Linked DNA regions of Saccharomyces cerevisiae S288C. The protein of the gene in region 4 purifies or fractionates together with the protein of the main gene of each other region. This does not show direct contact. Each region holds a gene or a part of one and is shown on either strand. Other genes may lie near its edges. The genes, in order: BRE5, RIO2, ZUO1 and RPS7A.

What was found.
Region 1: the proteins of RPS7A (region 4) and BRE5 purify together in Saccharomyces cerevisiae (affinity purification with mass spectrometry; 3 studies listed by BioGRID). This does not show direct contact.
Region 2: the proteins of RPS7A (region 4) and RIO2 purify together in Saccharomyces cerevisiae (affinity purification with mass spectrometry; 5 studies listed by BioGRID). This does not show direct contact.
Region 3: the proteins of RPS7A (region 4) and ZUO1 purify together in Saccharomyces cerevisiae (affinity purification with mass spectrometry; 3 studies listed by BioGRID). This does not show direct contact.

The regions. Positions count from the first base shown.
Region 1 is NC_001146.8:716,186-719,843, reverse strand, and holds BRE5 (Bre5p), read left to right. Parts: upstream 1-1,516; coding exon 1,517-3,064; downstream 3,065-3,658. Other genes in the region: CCR4-NOT core DEDD family RNase subunit POP2, read left to right, coding at 1-498. UniProt on the Saccharomyces cerevisiae protein: Has a role in de-ubiquitination. In conjunction with UBP3, cleaves ubiquitin, leading to the subsequent mono-ubiquitination of sec23.
Region 2 is NC_001146.8:253,544-257,130, forward strand, and holds RIO2 (protein kinase RIO2), read left to right. Parts: upstream 1-1,809; coding exon 1,810-3,087; downstream 3,088-3,587. Other genes in the region: Hsp70 family ATPase SSB2, read left to right, coding at 1-357; YNL208W (uncharacterized protein), read left to right, coding at 875-1,474; RTT106 (Rtt106p), read right to left, coding at 3,245-3,587. UniProt on the Saccharomyces cerevisiae protein: Required for the final endonucleolytic cleavage of 20S pre-rRNA at site D in the cytoplasm, converting it into the mature 18S rRNA. Involved in normal export of the pre-40S particles from the nucleus to the cytoplasm.
Region 3 is NC_001139.9:1,061,282-1,065,049, reverse strand, and holds ZUO1 (zuotin), read left to right. Parts: upstream 1-1,896; coding exon 1,897-3,198; downstream 3,199-3,768. Other genes in the region: BIO2 (biotin synthase), read left to right, coding at 110-1,237; protein ERV29, read left to right, coding at 3,460-3,768. UniProt on the Saccharomyces cerevisiae protein: Component of the ribosome-associated complex (RAC), a heterodimeric chaperone complex involved in regulation of accurate translation termination and in folding or maintaining nascent polypeptides in a folding-competent state.
Region 4 is NC_001147.6:503,884-507,320, forward strand, and holds RPS7A (40S ribosomal protein eS7 RPS7A), read left to right. Parts: upstream 1-1,910; coding exon 1,911-2,054; intron 2,055-2,455; coding exon 2,456-2,884; downstream 2,885-3,437. Other genes in the region: ribose-5-phosphate isomerase RKI1, read right to left, coding at 1-445; YOR097C (uncharacterized protein), read right to left, coding at 3,095-3,437. UniProt on the Saccharomyces cerevisiae protein: Component of the ribosome, a large ribonucleoprotein complex responsible for the synthesis of proteins in the cell.

The DNA.
Region 1 (3,658 bases), on a different chromosome or scaffold from region 4:
GGTATCAACTTCGAAAAACACGAAAATTTAGGCATCGATGTATTTGAATTTTCGCAGCTTCTAATGGACTCTGGTTTAATGATGGATGATTCTGTTACTTGGATCACATACCATGCGGCATATGATCTAGGTTTCCTGATCAACATTCTAATGAATGACTCCATGCCCAACAACAAGGAGGATTTCGAGTGGTGGGTCCATCAATACATGCCCAATTTCTACGACTTAAACCTGGTGTATAAAATAATCCAGGAGTTCAAGAACCCTCAATTGCAACAATCTTCACAACAGCAACAGCAGCAGCAATATTCACTAACCACACTTGCCGATGAGTTAGGGCTACCAAGATTCTCTATATTTACTACTACAGGCGGCCAGAGTCTATTGATGCTTCTATCCTTCTGCCAATTGAGCAAGCTGTCTATGCATAAGTTCCCAAACGGTACGGATTTCGCCAAGTACCAAGGTGTCATATACGGTATTGATGGGGACCAATGATCATTTATGTACTATATGTATACACAATTTTAAAAAAAAAAGTTTAAAAGCAACATCAGCTTATGATTGGACATGTAGTAATACAGATTGGTTCTTCGATGCAATAAGCACTCTTCCACAGGAGATTGATGCGTTATTCCCGTATAGTTATCGGTCACGTGCGCTGTAGTTTGTTTAACCATTTATTTTTTCTTGGAAATTTTTTCGTCCAAAGCAGCGAAAAACATCAGGTGGCGATTAATGAAAGAATGACATATTGCAAGCAGCATAACCGTCCATTCCAGGGATAAGAGGAAGTACAAGCTTCTTTATTAATAGTTCTAGAGTGACTACATTATTTCAGATTAGGCAATATTACCTTTTCGTACCGTTTTTTTTTCCTGTCCACTGTTACTATTGTTACGGTTAAAAGTTCTATCGCAACCGGCGGACGTTAAACTAAGTCATTTGTTTTTTATCCCATTACTGTTTCAAAAAAGAGCAATTCATACCTAATTTGTACAAAACGAAGACTGTACAAGTGGTAGTACTTGACATAGGATATTTTGCTTGAGTATTAGAAGAATACGAAAAACTTCTTCAGTTTTCTAGTTACCGTTAGTACCAAAACTATTCTAGAGGAAGAATAAACAGTAAGATATTGCTTTAATTTATTTATATCACCTACCACAAGCTTTCGTTTTTTTACTCTGTTTAATTCTTCAAGTTGTGTTTTTTCCCTACATTTTAATTCATTTTTGCCCATTTAATTACATTTTTTTTTTTGTTTTATTATTTTCGTTCAAACCTCATTTTCTTTCAAATATTCAATTAGTCAATCATTTTACAGAGAATCTGTTGAAAACTTATTTTACTGATACATCTTTATTTTTCGTTGATTTTTAAAGAGAAAAAGATCACGAAGAATACTACAAAACCATCGCATTTTTTTTTTCAAGTGTGTTATAGTTTTATTACCTTGTCACTAATAGTTGCATTTGAAGTCATACCCTCGAATAGAAGTATCAAATAAAAGAAAATGGGTGTTACCGTTCAAGACATATGTTTTGCCTTTTTGCAAAACTACTACGAAAGAATGAGGACCGACCCTTCCAAATTGGCATATTTTTATGCAAGTACAGCCGAGTTGACGCATACTAATTATCAGTCCAAGTCAACAAACGAAAAAGATGACGTTCTTCCAACGGTGAAAGTTACTGGACGTGAAAACATTAATAAGTTTTTTTCTAGAAATGATGCCAAAGTTAGGAGCTTGAAACTAAAATTAGATACTATAGATTTCCAGTACACTGGGCACTTGCACAAAAGCATTCTGATCATGGCCACGGGTGAAATGTTTTGGACAGGAACTCCGGTCTATAAGTTTTGTCAAACATTTATCCTGCTACCATCCAGCAATGGGTCTACGTTTGACATTACCAATGATATAATCAGATTTATTTCCAATTCATTCAAGCCTTATGTCTTAACAGATGCTTCTTTGTCACAATCTAACGAGGAGAACTCTGTCAGTGCAGTTGAAGAAGATAAAATAAGGCATGAGTCCGGAGTTGAAAAAGAAAAAGAAAAAGAAAAATCACCAGAAATATCGAAACCAAAGGCCAAAAAGGAAACGGTCAAAGACACAACTGCGCCAACTGAATCGTCAACTCAGGAAAAACCAATTGTCGATCATAGTCAACCTCGGGCTATACCCGTCACTAAAGAGTCCAAGATTCACACCGAAACGGTACCATCTAGTACTAAGGGCAACCACAAACAAGATGAGGTCTCTACAGAAGAGTTAGGAAACGTTACTAAACTAAATGAAAAATCTCACAAAGCCGAAAAGAAAGCTGCACCAATCAAGACAAAGGAAGGCTCTGTTGAGGCCATAAATGCTGTTAATAACTCTTCTTTGCCCAACGGTAAAGAAGTTAGTGATGAAAAACCGGTACCTGGGGGCGTAAAGGAAGCTGAAACTGAAATTAAACCAATAGAGCCACAGGTTTCCGACGCCAAAGAATCCGGCAATAACGCTTCAACACCTTCATCTTCTCCAGAGCCCGTTGCGAATCCACCAAAGATGACATGGGCCTCAAAGTTGATGAATGAAAACTCCGACAGAATTAGCAAAAATAATACCACGGTTGAATACATCAGACCTGAAACACTACCCAAGAAACCGACTGAAAGAAAATTTGAAATGGGGAATCGGAGGGACAACGCTAGTGCTAACAGCAAAAATAAGAAAAAACCAGTATTCAGCACCGTTAACAAGGACGGCTTTTATCCAATCTACATTAGAGGTACAAATGGCTTAAGAGAAGAAAAATTGAGAAGTGCCTTAGAAAAAGAATTCGGTAAAGTTATGAGGATAACAGCTGCAGACAATTTTGCCGTCGTCGACTTTGAAACTCAAAAGAGCCAAATCGATGCTTTAGAGAAGAAGAAAAAGTCAATTGATGGTATTGAAGTATGCTTAGAAAGAAAAACAGTAAAGAAGCCCACGAGCAATAATCCTCCTGGCATATTTACTAATGGAACACGTTCTCATAGAAAGCAACCCCTAAAAAGAAAGGACTAGTCAACCACAAGCCTTTTAAAAAGAAAAATTGAAAAAATAATAAAAAAATTTGAAAAAGAAAAAAAAAAATCATAAAACCAATCTTAAGAAAAACCAAAAAAAAACCGCTAATTAAAATCTAAAAAATTGAAACAAGAAACTGTATGATTAGTAACTAATATACTGGCGCGGAAGGGAATGAATGCCATTTAAATGAGATGATTATGAAAATATAGCGTAGAGTAGATGCGCGAAACCGAGGCAGAAAAGAAAAAGAGACAAGTTAAAAATTGAATATAATGATATATGGGCACTTTCTTCTGTGCTAGGAAACGGAGGTAGAAGGGGATAGCAAGCTTGAGCAGTAATTAAAAAAAAAAAAAAGCATATTGATAGATAGCTCATTTGTAGTTAACTGACGACATTTATGTACATAATTAAAATAGAAGAAAATTTTCAAAAAAAATTCTCCTGGCGATTGTTAGGGACAAGAAAACAAGCCATGTTGTAACCAATAAATGTTACACGCCTTCAAAATAAAAAAAAGATGGACAAAAGAGATAAATCTTTTGCTTTTTCTTACTCTGTGTTGTTGTCAACAAAGACAACAAACGT
Region 2 (3,587 bases), on a different chromosome or scaffold from region 4:
GAAAAGTCTACCGGTAAGTCTTCTAACATCACTATCTCCAACGCTGTCGGTAGATTGTCTTCTGAAGAAATTGAAAAGATGGTTAACCAAGCCGAAGAGTTCAAGGCTGCTGATGAAGCTTTTGCTAAGAAGCACGAAGCTAGACAAAGACTAGAATCCTACGTCGCTTCCATCGAACAAACCGTCACTGACCCAGTCTTGTCTTCTAAATTGAAGAGAGGTTCCAAGTCCAAGATCGAAGCTGCTTTGTCCGATGCTTTGGCTGCTTTGCAAATCGAAGACCCATCCGCTGATGAGTTGAGAAAGGCAGAAGTTGGTTTGAAGAGAGTTGTCACCAAGGCCATGTCTTCTCGTTAAGATGTCATTCTGGTTAAGGTTATACACATATATATATTTTTCATTTTTAATGTCTTAGCTTTTGTATCTTAGATGAAGTTTTAGTTCTGTATATCACGATCAAGATATCATACAATCATAAATTCAATTATTCTTCTGTTTCCCCTCTTGAGGCATCAAACGAGTGTTTGACTGATACACACCAACATACTAAGGCAACTTTTCTGGCTGCCCAAAGCTGTGGCACGTATGAAACTGCTTTTCGGCTGCATAAAACAACCATGTGGAGTTTTTACTGTATTCGCATTTCGCCCCGCTAGCATTCTTCGTTCATGCTAAAAATGAGGCGTGGGCTAATATTCAGTATTAATAATTCCGGCACCCGCACAGCCCATACCGGAAAAGGGGCTGGCTGTTGGGCTTGGCAAAAAACTCAATCTGAGCAGTCATTTATAAAGAAAGACTTTAATTTGTCTTGCTAAACACTTGTAAGCCTTCCAAATATAGATCACTTAAGACAATCTAACAAGTGTCCAAAATGTCTGCAAACGAATTCTACTCAAGTGGCCAACAAGGTCAATATAACCAGCAAAACAACCAAGAAAGAACTGGTGCTCCAAACAACGGTCAATATGGTGCCGACAATGGTAACCCCAACGGTGAACGTGGTTTATTTTCCACTATTGTAGGTGGCAGTGCCGGTGCGTACGCTGGATCTAAGGTGTCGAACAACCATTCTAAGTTGAGTGGTGTGCTGGGCGCCATAGGTGGTGCATTCCTTGCCAACAAGATATCTGATGAGCGTAAAGAGCATAAGCAACAAGAGCAATACGGCAACTCAAACTTCGGAGGTGCTCCTCAAGGTGGACACAACAACCATCACCGTCAGGACAATAACAACAATAACGGTGGATTTGGCGGTCCAGGCGGCCCTGGCGGTCAAGGTTTCGGAAGACAAGGCCCACAAGGATTTGGAGGTCCTGGTCCACAAGAGTTTGGTGGTCCAGGTGGCCAAGGATTCGGTGGTCCAAATCCTCAAGAATTCGGCGGGCCAGGTGGCCAAGGATTCGGTGGTCCAAACCCTCAGGAATTCGGGGGCCAAGGTCGTCAAGGATTCAATGGCGGTTCACGTTGGTGAATGGCTCAACAGAGTGAGTGTCATTTTTAGCTAACTACATACTTGATTTATCTATATATACATATATACTACTCGTTTTATTATGATGTCGTAACAAATGACTTATTCGAGAAAAGAAAACGTGAAAAAATAAGCTAAAAATTTGGCGATGAGGTTCTCTGTTGAAGTTGGAACCCGCAATTCATGATTTTGGTAAGGTCAAGGATCATCAGTAATTAGCTTAAAGTAAGAACTACTCAATAATATTAAACCATTTATCCTTGGCTCGTCTTTCTATTGACCAATCAATACTATTTTAAACATCTCTTCTACCACATACTTTCAATCAGACTAGAATGAAATTGGATACTTCTCATATGAGATATTTGACAACTGATGATTTTCGTGTCCTCCAGGCCGTTGAACAAGGTTCTAGAAGTCACGAAGTCGTTCCAACTCCCTTGATTCATCAAATCTCGGGGATGAGATCGCAGTCCGGAACAAACCGAGCCATTAGTGATTTGGCCAAGCTTAGCCTTATTTCCAAAATGAGAAATGTCAAATATGATGGTTACAGGCTAACTTATAACGGTATTGATTATTTGGCTTTGAAAACCATGTTAAACAGAGACACTGTCTATTCTGTCGGTAACACTATTGGTGTTGGTAAGGAATCTGACATCTATAAAGTAAGTGACAAAAATGGAAACCCTAGAGTAATGAAAATTCACAGATTAGGTAGAACCTCTTTTCATTCCGTCAGAAATAATAGAGATTATCTGAAGAAATCCAACCAGGGGGCAAACTGGATGCATCTTTCACGTTTGGCAGCCAATAAAGAATATCAGTTTATGTCCATGCTTTATTCTAAGGGTTTCAAGGTCCCTGAGCCATTCGATAACTCGCGTCATATAGTCGTTATGGAGCTTATCGAGGGTTACCCAATGAGGAGATTAAGAAAACATAAGAATATACCCAAGCTTTATAGTGATCTGATGTGTTTCATCGTTGATCTAGCAAATAGCGGACTTATCCATTGTGATTTTAATGAGTTTAATATTATGATAAAGGACAAACTAGAGGATGAAAACGATTGTGGGTTCGTAGTTATTGATTTTCCACAATGTATATCTATTCAACACCAAGACGCCGACTATTATTTCCAAAGGGATGTTGACTGTATTCGTCGTTTCTTCAAAAAGAAACTGAAGTACGAACCAAAACCTGATTCATCAATGCTCGACACTGAAGGTTTCGGCGATGGTTATAAATATGCGTATCCAGATTTCAAAAGGGACGTTAAAAGAACCGACAATTTGGATGAATTGGTGCAGGCTTCCGGATTTAGCAAAAAGCATCCAGGAGATAGGGGCCTGGAAACTGCCGTTGAAAGCATGAGAAATGCTGTTTATAATTCAGATGACGATATGTCTAATGACGAGGCCGAAGAAGAAAATGGGGAGGGCGATTATTCAGAGGAGGATGAATACTATGACTCCGAACTTGATAATGAAAGTTCTGAAGATGACAGTGAAGATGCACAAGAAGAGGAGAACGAACGTATTATAGAGGCGCTTTCCAGTGGTGTTGAAAATCTAAAAATGGATAAACTAGGAAACTATATACTAGAGTAGTTTAGTTTAGACGACTGCATAAATGGCCGCAAATAATCAAGTTGTTATCCATAATTTTTTTGATTTTTAAGCCATGTTATTCTTCAGGATAAAAAAAGTGGTATTTATGAACTCTTACATATGCGTATTCATGCTATATTATAATATCGAATCTAAGTCAATCGTATTCTACTCCGGATCCATCCTCATCATCTTCATCGTCATCATTATCAATTTCTATCGGAATATCTTCGAGTTCTAACGGCTCCTTAAACTCTTTGTATTGGAGTTCCTGTTCTGGTTGACCATTTATAGAAGCAAAACTATTATCTCTATTCAAAGCGCTTTGGCCCTTTTTGTCTTCCTCTTCATCGTCTTCTTCATCATCTTCTTCTGCTTCCTCTCCGTCTTCTGCACCGTCTGAGGATTCTTGGCCACTCCCATCGGAAAGGTCGCTCTCAGCTTCGAAATTTTGGTCATTTTCTTCATCATCGTCTGAAAACACACCTGCCTTTTTCTCG
Region 3 (3,768 bases), on a different chromosome or scaffold from region 4:
AAAGCTTTTTTTGCTCCCATACTTGCTGAAAATTTTTCAGATCTTACTCTTCTGGTAGTGGTGTCCTCAGAAGAGCTAACTTAGCCGATTATTTTCAATTTAGTGCAGTATGATGTCTACTATCTACCGTCATTTATCTACCGCTAGACCGGCTTTAACTAAATACGCAACCAATGCCGCAGTTAAATCGACAACTGCATCCTCAGAAGCTAGTACTCTGGGTGCTCTACAATATGCATTGTCTTTAGATGAACCAAGTCATTCGTGGACAAAATCGCAATTAAAAGAAATTTATCATACCCCACTGCTCGAACTTACTCATGCAGCACAATTGCAGCACAGAAAGTGGCACGATCCAACCAAAGTGCAATTGTGCACATTGATGAACATCAAATCTGGTGGTTGTTCTGAGGACTGTAAGTATTGTGCGCAGTCTTCGAGAAACGATACCGGTCTAAAGGCTGAGAAAATGGTTAAAGTGGATGAAGTGATTAAAGAGGCAGAAGAGGCCAAAAGAAACGGATCTACTAGATTCTGCCTAGGTGCTGCATGGAGAGACATGAAAGGTCGTAAATCAGCCATGAAAAGAATTCAGGAAATGGTGACCAAAGTGAATGATATGGGGCTAGAAACGTGTGTTACTTTAGGTATGGTTGATCAAGATCAAGCAAAGCAATTGAAAGATGCAGGTTTGACTGCATACAACCATAACATCGACACTTCCAGAGAACACTATAGTAAGGTCATCACCACGAGAACCTACGACGACAGGTTACAGACCATCAAGAATGTCCAAGAATCTGGAATAAAAGCCTGTACCGGTGGTATTTTGGGTCTCGGTGAAAGCGAAGACGACCATATAGGATTCATCTACACATTATCCAATATGTCTCCTCATCCTGAGTCCCTACCAATTAATAGACTAGTTGCTATCAAAGGGACTCCAATGGCTGAGGAACTTGCCGATCCAAAGAGTAAAAAGTTGCAATTCGACGAAATTTTGAGAACCATTGCCACAGCGAGAATAGTTATGCCAAAGGCCATTATAAGACTTGCCGCTGGTCGTTATACAATGAAAGAAACAGAGCAATTTGTCTGTTTCATGGCAGGTTGTAACAGTATCTTCACCGGTAAGAAAATGCTGACGACAATGTGTAACGGTTGGGACGAAGACAAGGCAATGTTGGCTAAATGGGGATTGCAACCTATGGAGGCATTTAAGTACGACAGATCTTGAAGATAGGGATATGTGGATAATTCTACGATTCTAACTGTACATTTCTCCCTTATTTATTAAGAAAACCTATATATATATATATTTACCTATTTATTCTGCCATCGTTAGCTGGCGTTTTATCTTTTATGCATCCAATATCTAATATTACTTCCGATCACGCATTTAGTTCTGATTACAGCAGAAATCGTAGCGCGATGAGACATTTCATCAAATGGCCTTTTTTTTTTGGGCAATTTTTTTATATCTTGAAATGATAGTTGCCTTGTACTTTCAACCGTTCATTTCATTAAGAACTTGACTAAATATGAACATTTCTTAAAAAAAAGGTTGACATATAAAAATAATCGAATATAAACGATGGAATTTTTATAAAATTAAACACATATATATATATATATTAACTATAAATATGTCAAAGAAACCATACAATCATAGATTTATAACTATCTTTTGGATGACATTAATGAACATAACGCTCCTAATACAAATGTCCAAAAAATATTACCCGCAAATACGAATCTTTTTTTTTTCTCGATGAAATTTTGCAAAGAGTTCGAAATTTTTATTTCAAGAGCTGGTAGAGAAAATTTCATAAGGTTTTCCTACCGATGCTTTTATAAAATCTTCGTTTTGTCTCACATATACCAACAAGAGTAACGATGTTTTCTTTACCTACCCTAACCTCAGACATCACTGTTGAAGTCAACAGTTCCGCTACCAAAACCCCATTCGTCCGTCGTCCGGTCGAACCGGTTGGTAAGTTCTTTTTGCAACATGCTCAAAGAACTTTGAGAAACCACACCTGGTCTGAATTTGAAAGAATTGAAGCTGAAAAGAACGTCAAAACCGTTGATGAATCCAATGTCGACCCAGATGAGTTGTTATTCGACACTGAATTGGCCGATGAAGATTTACTGACTCATGATGCTAGAGACTGGAAAACTGCCGATTTGTATGCTGCTATGGGTTTGTCTAAGTTGCGTTTCAGAGCTACTGAAAGTCAAATCATCAAGGCTCACAGAAAACAAGTTGTCAAGTACCATCCAGACAAGCAATCTGCTGCTGGTGGTAGTTTGGACCAAGATGGCTTTTTCAAGATTATTCAAAAGGCCTTTGAAACTTTGACTGATTCCAACAAGAGAGCTCAGTACGACTCATGTGATTTTGTTGCCGATGTTCCTCCTCCAAAGAAGGGTACCGATTATGACTTTTATGAAGCTTGGGGCCCCGTTTTCGAAGCTGAAGCTCGTTTTTCTAAGAAGACTCCTATTCCTTCTCTAGGTAACAAAGATTCTTCCAAGAAGGAAGTTGAACAATTCTATGCTTTCTGGCACAGATTTGACTCCTGGAGAACCTTTGAGTTCTTGGACGAAGATGTCCCAGATGACTCTTCTAACAGAGACCACAAGCGTTACATTGAAAGAAAGAACAAGGCCGCAAGAGACAAGAAGAAGACTGCTGATAACGCTAGATTGGTCAAACTTGTTGAAAGAGCTGTCAGTGAAGATCCCCGTATCAAAATGTTCAAAGAAGAAGAGAAGAAGGAAAAGGAAAGAAGAAAATGGGAAAGAGAAGCCGGTGCCAGAGCTGAAGCTGAAGCTAAGGCCAAGGCCGAAGCTGAAGCGAAGGCTAAAGCTGAATCTGAAGCCAAGGCTAACGCCTCCGCAAAAGCTGACAAAAAGAAGGCTAAGGAAGCTGCTAAGGCCGCCAAGAAAAAGAACAAGAGAGCCATCCGTAACTCTGCTAAGGAAGCTGACTACTTTGGTGATGCTGACAAGGCCACCACGATTGACGAACAAGTTGGTTTGATCGTTGACAGTTTGAATGACGAAGAGTTAGTGTCCACCGCCGATAAGATCAAGGCCAATGCTGCTGGTGCCAAGGAAGTTTTGAAGGAATCTGCAAAGACTATTGTCGATTCTGGCAAACTACCATCCAGCTTGTTGTCCTACTTCGTGTGAATACCGTAAGAAATGGAATAGAATATATACGAATGTATACGAATATTATAGAGAACGTTCTCTTTTATTTCTATAATGAATAGGTTCGGGTAACGGTTCCCTTTTTAGGTATTTCTAGAAGATGAGAGAAGAGGGAATAATGAGAAAGGCGAAAAATAAAGGACACCTTTAACGAAAGATCAAAGGTGTCCTTATTTACTTACAATAGCTGCAATTAGTACGACTCAAAAAAAGTGAAAACAAAACTGAAAGGATAGATCAATGTCTTACAGAGGACCTATTGGAAATTTTGGCGGTATGCCAATGTCATCATCGCAAGGACCATACTCTGGCGGTGCACAATTCAGATCAAACCAGAACCAATCCACTTCTGGCATCTTAAAGCAATGGAAGCATTCTTTTGAAAAGTTTGCCTCCAGAATTGAGGGGCTCACTGACAATGCAGTTGTTTATAAATTGAAGCCTTACATTCCAAGTTTGTCAAGATTTTTCATTGTGGCCACCTTTTATGAAGATTCGTTTAGGATCTTATCACAATGGTCAGATCAAATTTTTTATCTGAATAAGTGG
Region 4 (3,437 bases):
ACTTTTTTCTTGAATCAGCAACGACAATGAAGGTTTTAGCACTAGTACTAACCAATTTTTCTTGAAATAGACAAGCACCACCACCTTTAATTAATTGTAAATTCTCATCCACTTCATCAGCACCGTCAAACGCTATATCAATGCGAGGATACTGTTCAATGGAGCCTAATTGCAACTTGTTATCCAAAATCAAGTTTCTTGATTGGAATCCTGTTGGAATGCAAATGAATTTAGACGCTACTTCATAAAATTTAGGGTCATGCAAATATTGTCCAATTCTTTCGGCAACATAAACCACTGTGCTACCACTACCAATTCCAATAATTTTGTGATCATCAAATTTTAAATTTTCATCAACTGCTCTGTATGCTGCAGCTCTCTTGGCATCCTCCAAAGGATTGCCCAAAGATTCTAACGCATCAATTTTTGGGACACCGGCAGCCATTTCTTTCCTATGTTGTATTTATATGAGGTTGCAGTATGCGGTAACCAAGTTTATGTAACACGATGTTGTTAATTTTCTACAAGAGAAAAGAACGTCCCAGTACAAAGAGAATAAATTGCATGTAATAAATTGAAACAGTTTCACACTGCAACGCAAGCCGTACATATATTATATTATCCAAAGCGTACGTAAACTGACACCCAATTACGAACCAGATGAAATTTCACCGAGTTAATCGCTTTTCCCTCATCGCAAAAAAATTTTTCAACTCATCGCGACTTTTCACTGCCTCGGCCACAAGCAATCTGGGCCATGCCATTACTCCCATTAGCCCGAAAAAAAGAGGGGGTATGAAGCTAGTACATCATTATAACAAGTACTAAACTCAATTAATTCACTTACGAGACTTATACCAACGCTGGTTGATATACCACATTTGGCAGCATCCAAGGTTTCTCGTAAAATAGCTATAGTGTGGCGGACTTACCGGATGTCATTGTATAATCTTTTATAGAAAAAGGCTTTCTGAAATTTGAACATGACTAATTAACGCATATCAGGTGGGTAATCTTTCCGCAATACTATAACTTTGCTAGAAGTTATGTAAACGTTTTAGTTTACAAGAGAAAGTTTTGTGAACATTATCAGTGCCAAAACAGAAGCGGTATTACGATCGAAAATGCCAAATAAGACCGTCCGATGCCCCTTTCTTCTGCTACTCGTGATCTCACCGGCAGATAATGATTGAGTAATATCATGAATCTCTCCAAGAAACAATACTCAACTTAATGCGTTCGCAAACTGCTATTAGAATAAAAATAATGTTTCAAAAATAACGATCTTGATGTCTATACCAACCATGCATGATTTCCTATTGTGCGTGCCTTATTTACGCACGTTTTTCAACATACGGCTCTATCACCGAAGGCGCTCAAGAGCAGAATAATATGACCGTCATTCATTTCAAACCCATACACAATGAACCTTATCACACCCAAACATATGATATGGTATTAAAAAATGAAAAAAATTCATTATTCTTTAGCGTAATTATTGAAGAAAAAACAGTGCGCGCGGTAATTTTTTGTCACTCAGTAACTAGAGAGAAGCCGAATGTACTCCCCCGGCTAGCTGGAGACCATGGCTCTGCCTAGGATTTCTCTTATGCTTTCCTTTCACCAATCACTTTGTTCCGGCGAGGCCCGCGAAGCTCGCTTTCTTTCAGCCTAGCAATCATGTTCTTGCCAGCGTCGTAGACTACTGTATGGCAGTTGCTGCACTTGCCATGAATATCCTAGTGAAGCCTCTATGCAATAATCCAGTTACTGCGTTAGAATCCTGGTAAAATGTCTAATCTTATTACATTACAGCAACGTATTAGATTTTGATTGAAAATTAGTCCTTGCGACTTGGTATATATCTTATTTTAAGAAAGCTGAAAGGAAGAAAGATCATCACGAACAACATGTCTGCTCCACAAGCCAAGATTTTGTCTCAAGCTCCAACTGAATTGGAATTACAAGTTGCTCAAGCTTTCGTTGAATTGGAAAATTCTTCTCCAGAATTGAAAGCTGAGTTGAGACCTTTGCAATTCAAGTCCATCAGAGAAGTATGTTATTAATTTGAATCTAAACTTAAGAATAATGGAGAGTAACAAAGGAAAAAAGTGTGAACGGGACGATACCAGAATGTTTCAATCTAGAAAAGTATAAAAGATAAGGACTAGGACTCAAATGTATTTGGCTGACTATCGCCTGAACCTTGATGCTAAGCAAATACCATATCTTCAAGAAAAAGCCTACTCCAGTGTTTAAGAAGAAGGGAACGATTTACTAGATCATGCTATACGCAGTAAGGTTCTGATAGTTAATTACAATCGGTCCAAGTTCTAAGCGGTGTCGTCCATGCATATATCATTTACAAGTTACTGGCGTCAACTCTTCAAATATTCAAAATATCACCTAATCAAACTTACTAACATTTTCCTTTTTTGTTTTCCTTCTTTTATAGATCGACGTTGCTGGTGGTAAGAAGGCTTTGGCCATTTTTGTTCCAGTCCCATCTTTGGCTGGTTTCCACAAGGTTCAAACTAAGTTGACCCGTGAATTGGAAAAGAAATTCCAAGACCGTCATGTCATCTTCTTGGCTGAAAGAAGAATCTTGCCAAAGCCATCTAGAACATCTAGACAAGTCCAAAAGAGACCAAGATCCAGAACCTTGACTGCTGTTCATGACAAGATCTTGGAAGACTTAGTCTTCCCAACTGAAATCGTTGGTAAGAGAGTTAGATATTTGGTTGGTGGTAACAAGATCCAAAAGGTTTTGTTAGACTCAAAGGATGTCCAACAAATCGACTACAAATTGGAATCTTTCCAAGCTGTTTACAACAAATTGACTGGTAAGCAAATTGTTTTCGAAATTCCAAGTGAAACTCATTAGTTAATATAATAATATCTAAATCTTTATTATTAGTTAGTAACAACTTTGTTTATTTTATAGCACAATAAGATAATAAAAACTCCAAATTCCAAAAAAAAATACTTTTTGCAAAGATCTGAATCAAATAAATTTTATGACAACTATGCATAGTTACATACTTTTTCACCGCCGTATGATTGCCGCTAAATCGACAGGTTGCCATACAAACATTTATTTATGTCGTGCCATGTTTATAAAATTTTCGTATCTGTTGGAGTTAGATAAGCCTACGCTTGATGGACCGTTGGGTGGCTTTCTAAGTGAGCTCGTGCCATCACAATTAATATAAGGAATTGTAGATGTTTCTTTCGTTATAGGTATTTCAAAATAATTATAAGAACCTACGCCCTCGTCTTTCTCCATTGGAACAGTTGCCGTTTTCGCAGTTCTTTTTGGTTCAGTCCTCATATCATGTGATTCCCCTGGCTCTCCTGATCTTTTTATACTTACTTTGAAATCGTCATATGTGTATTTCTTTGATGCAACTCCGATAACGAAGACAATGCTTCCAATA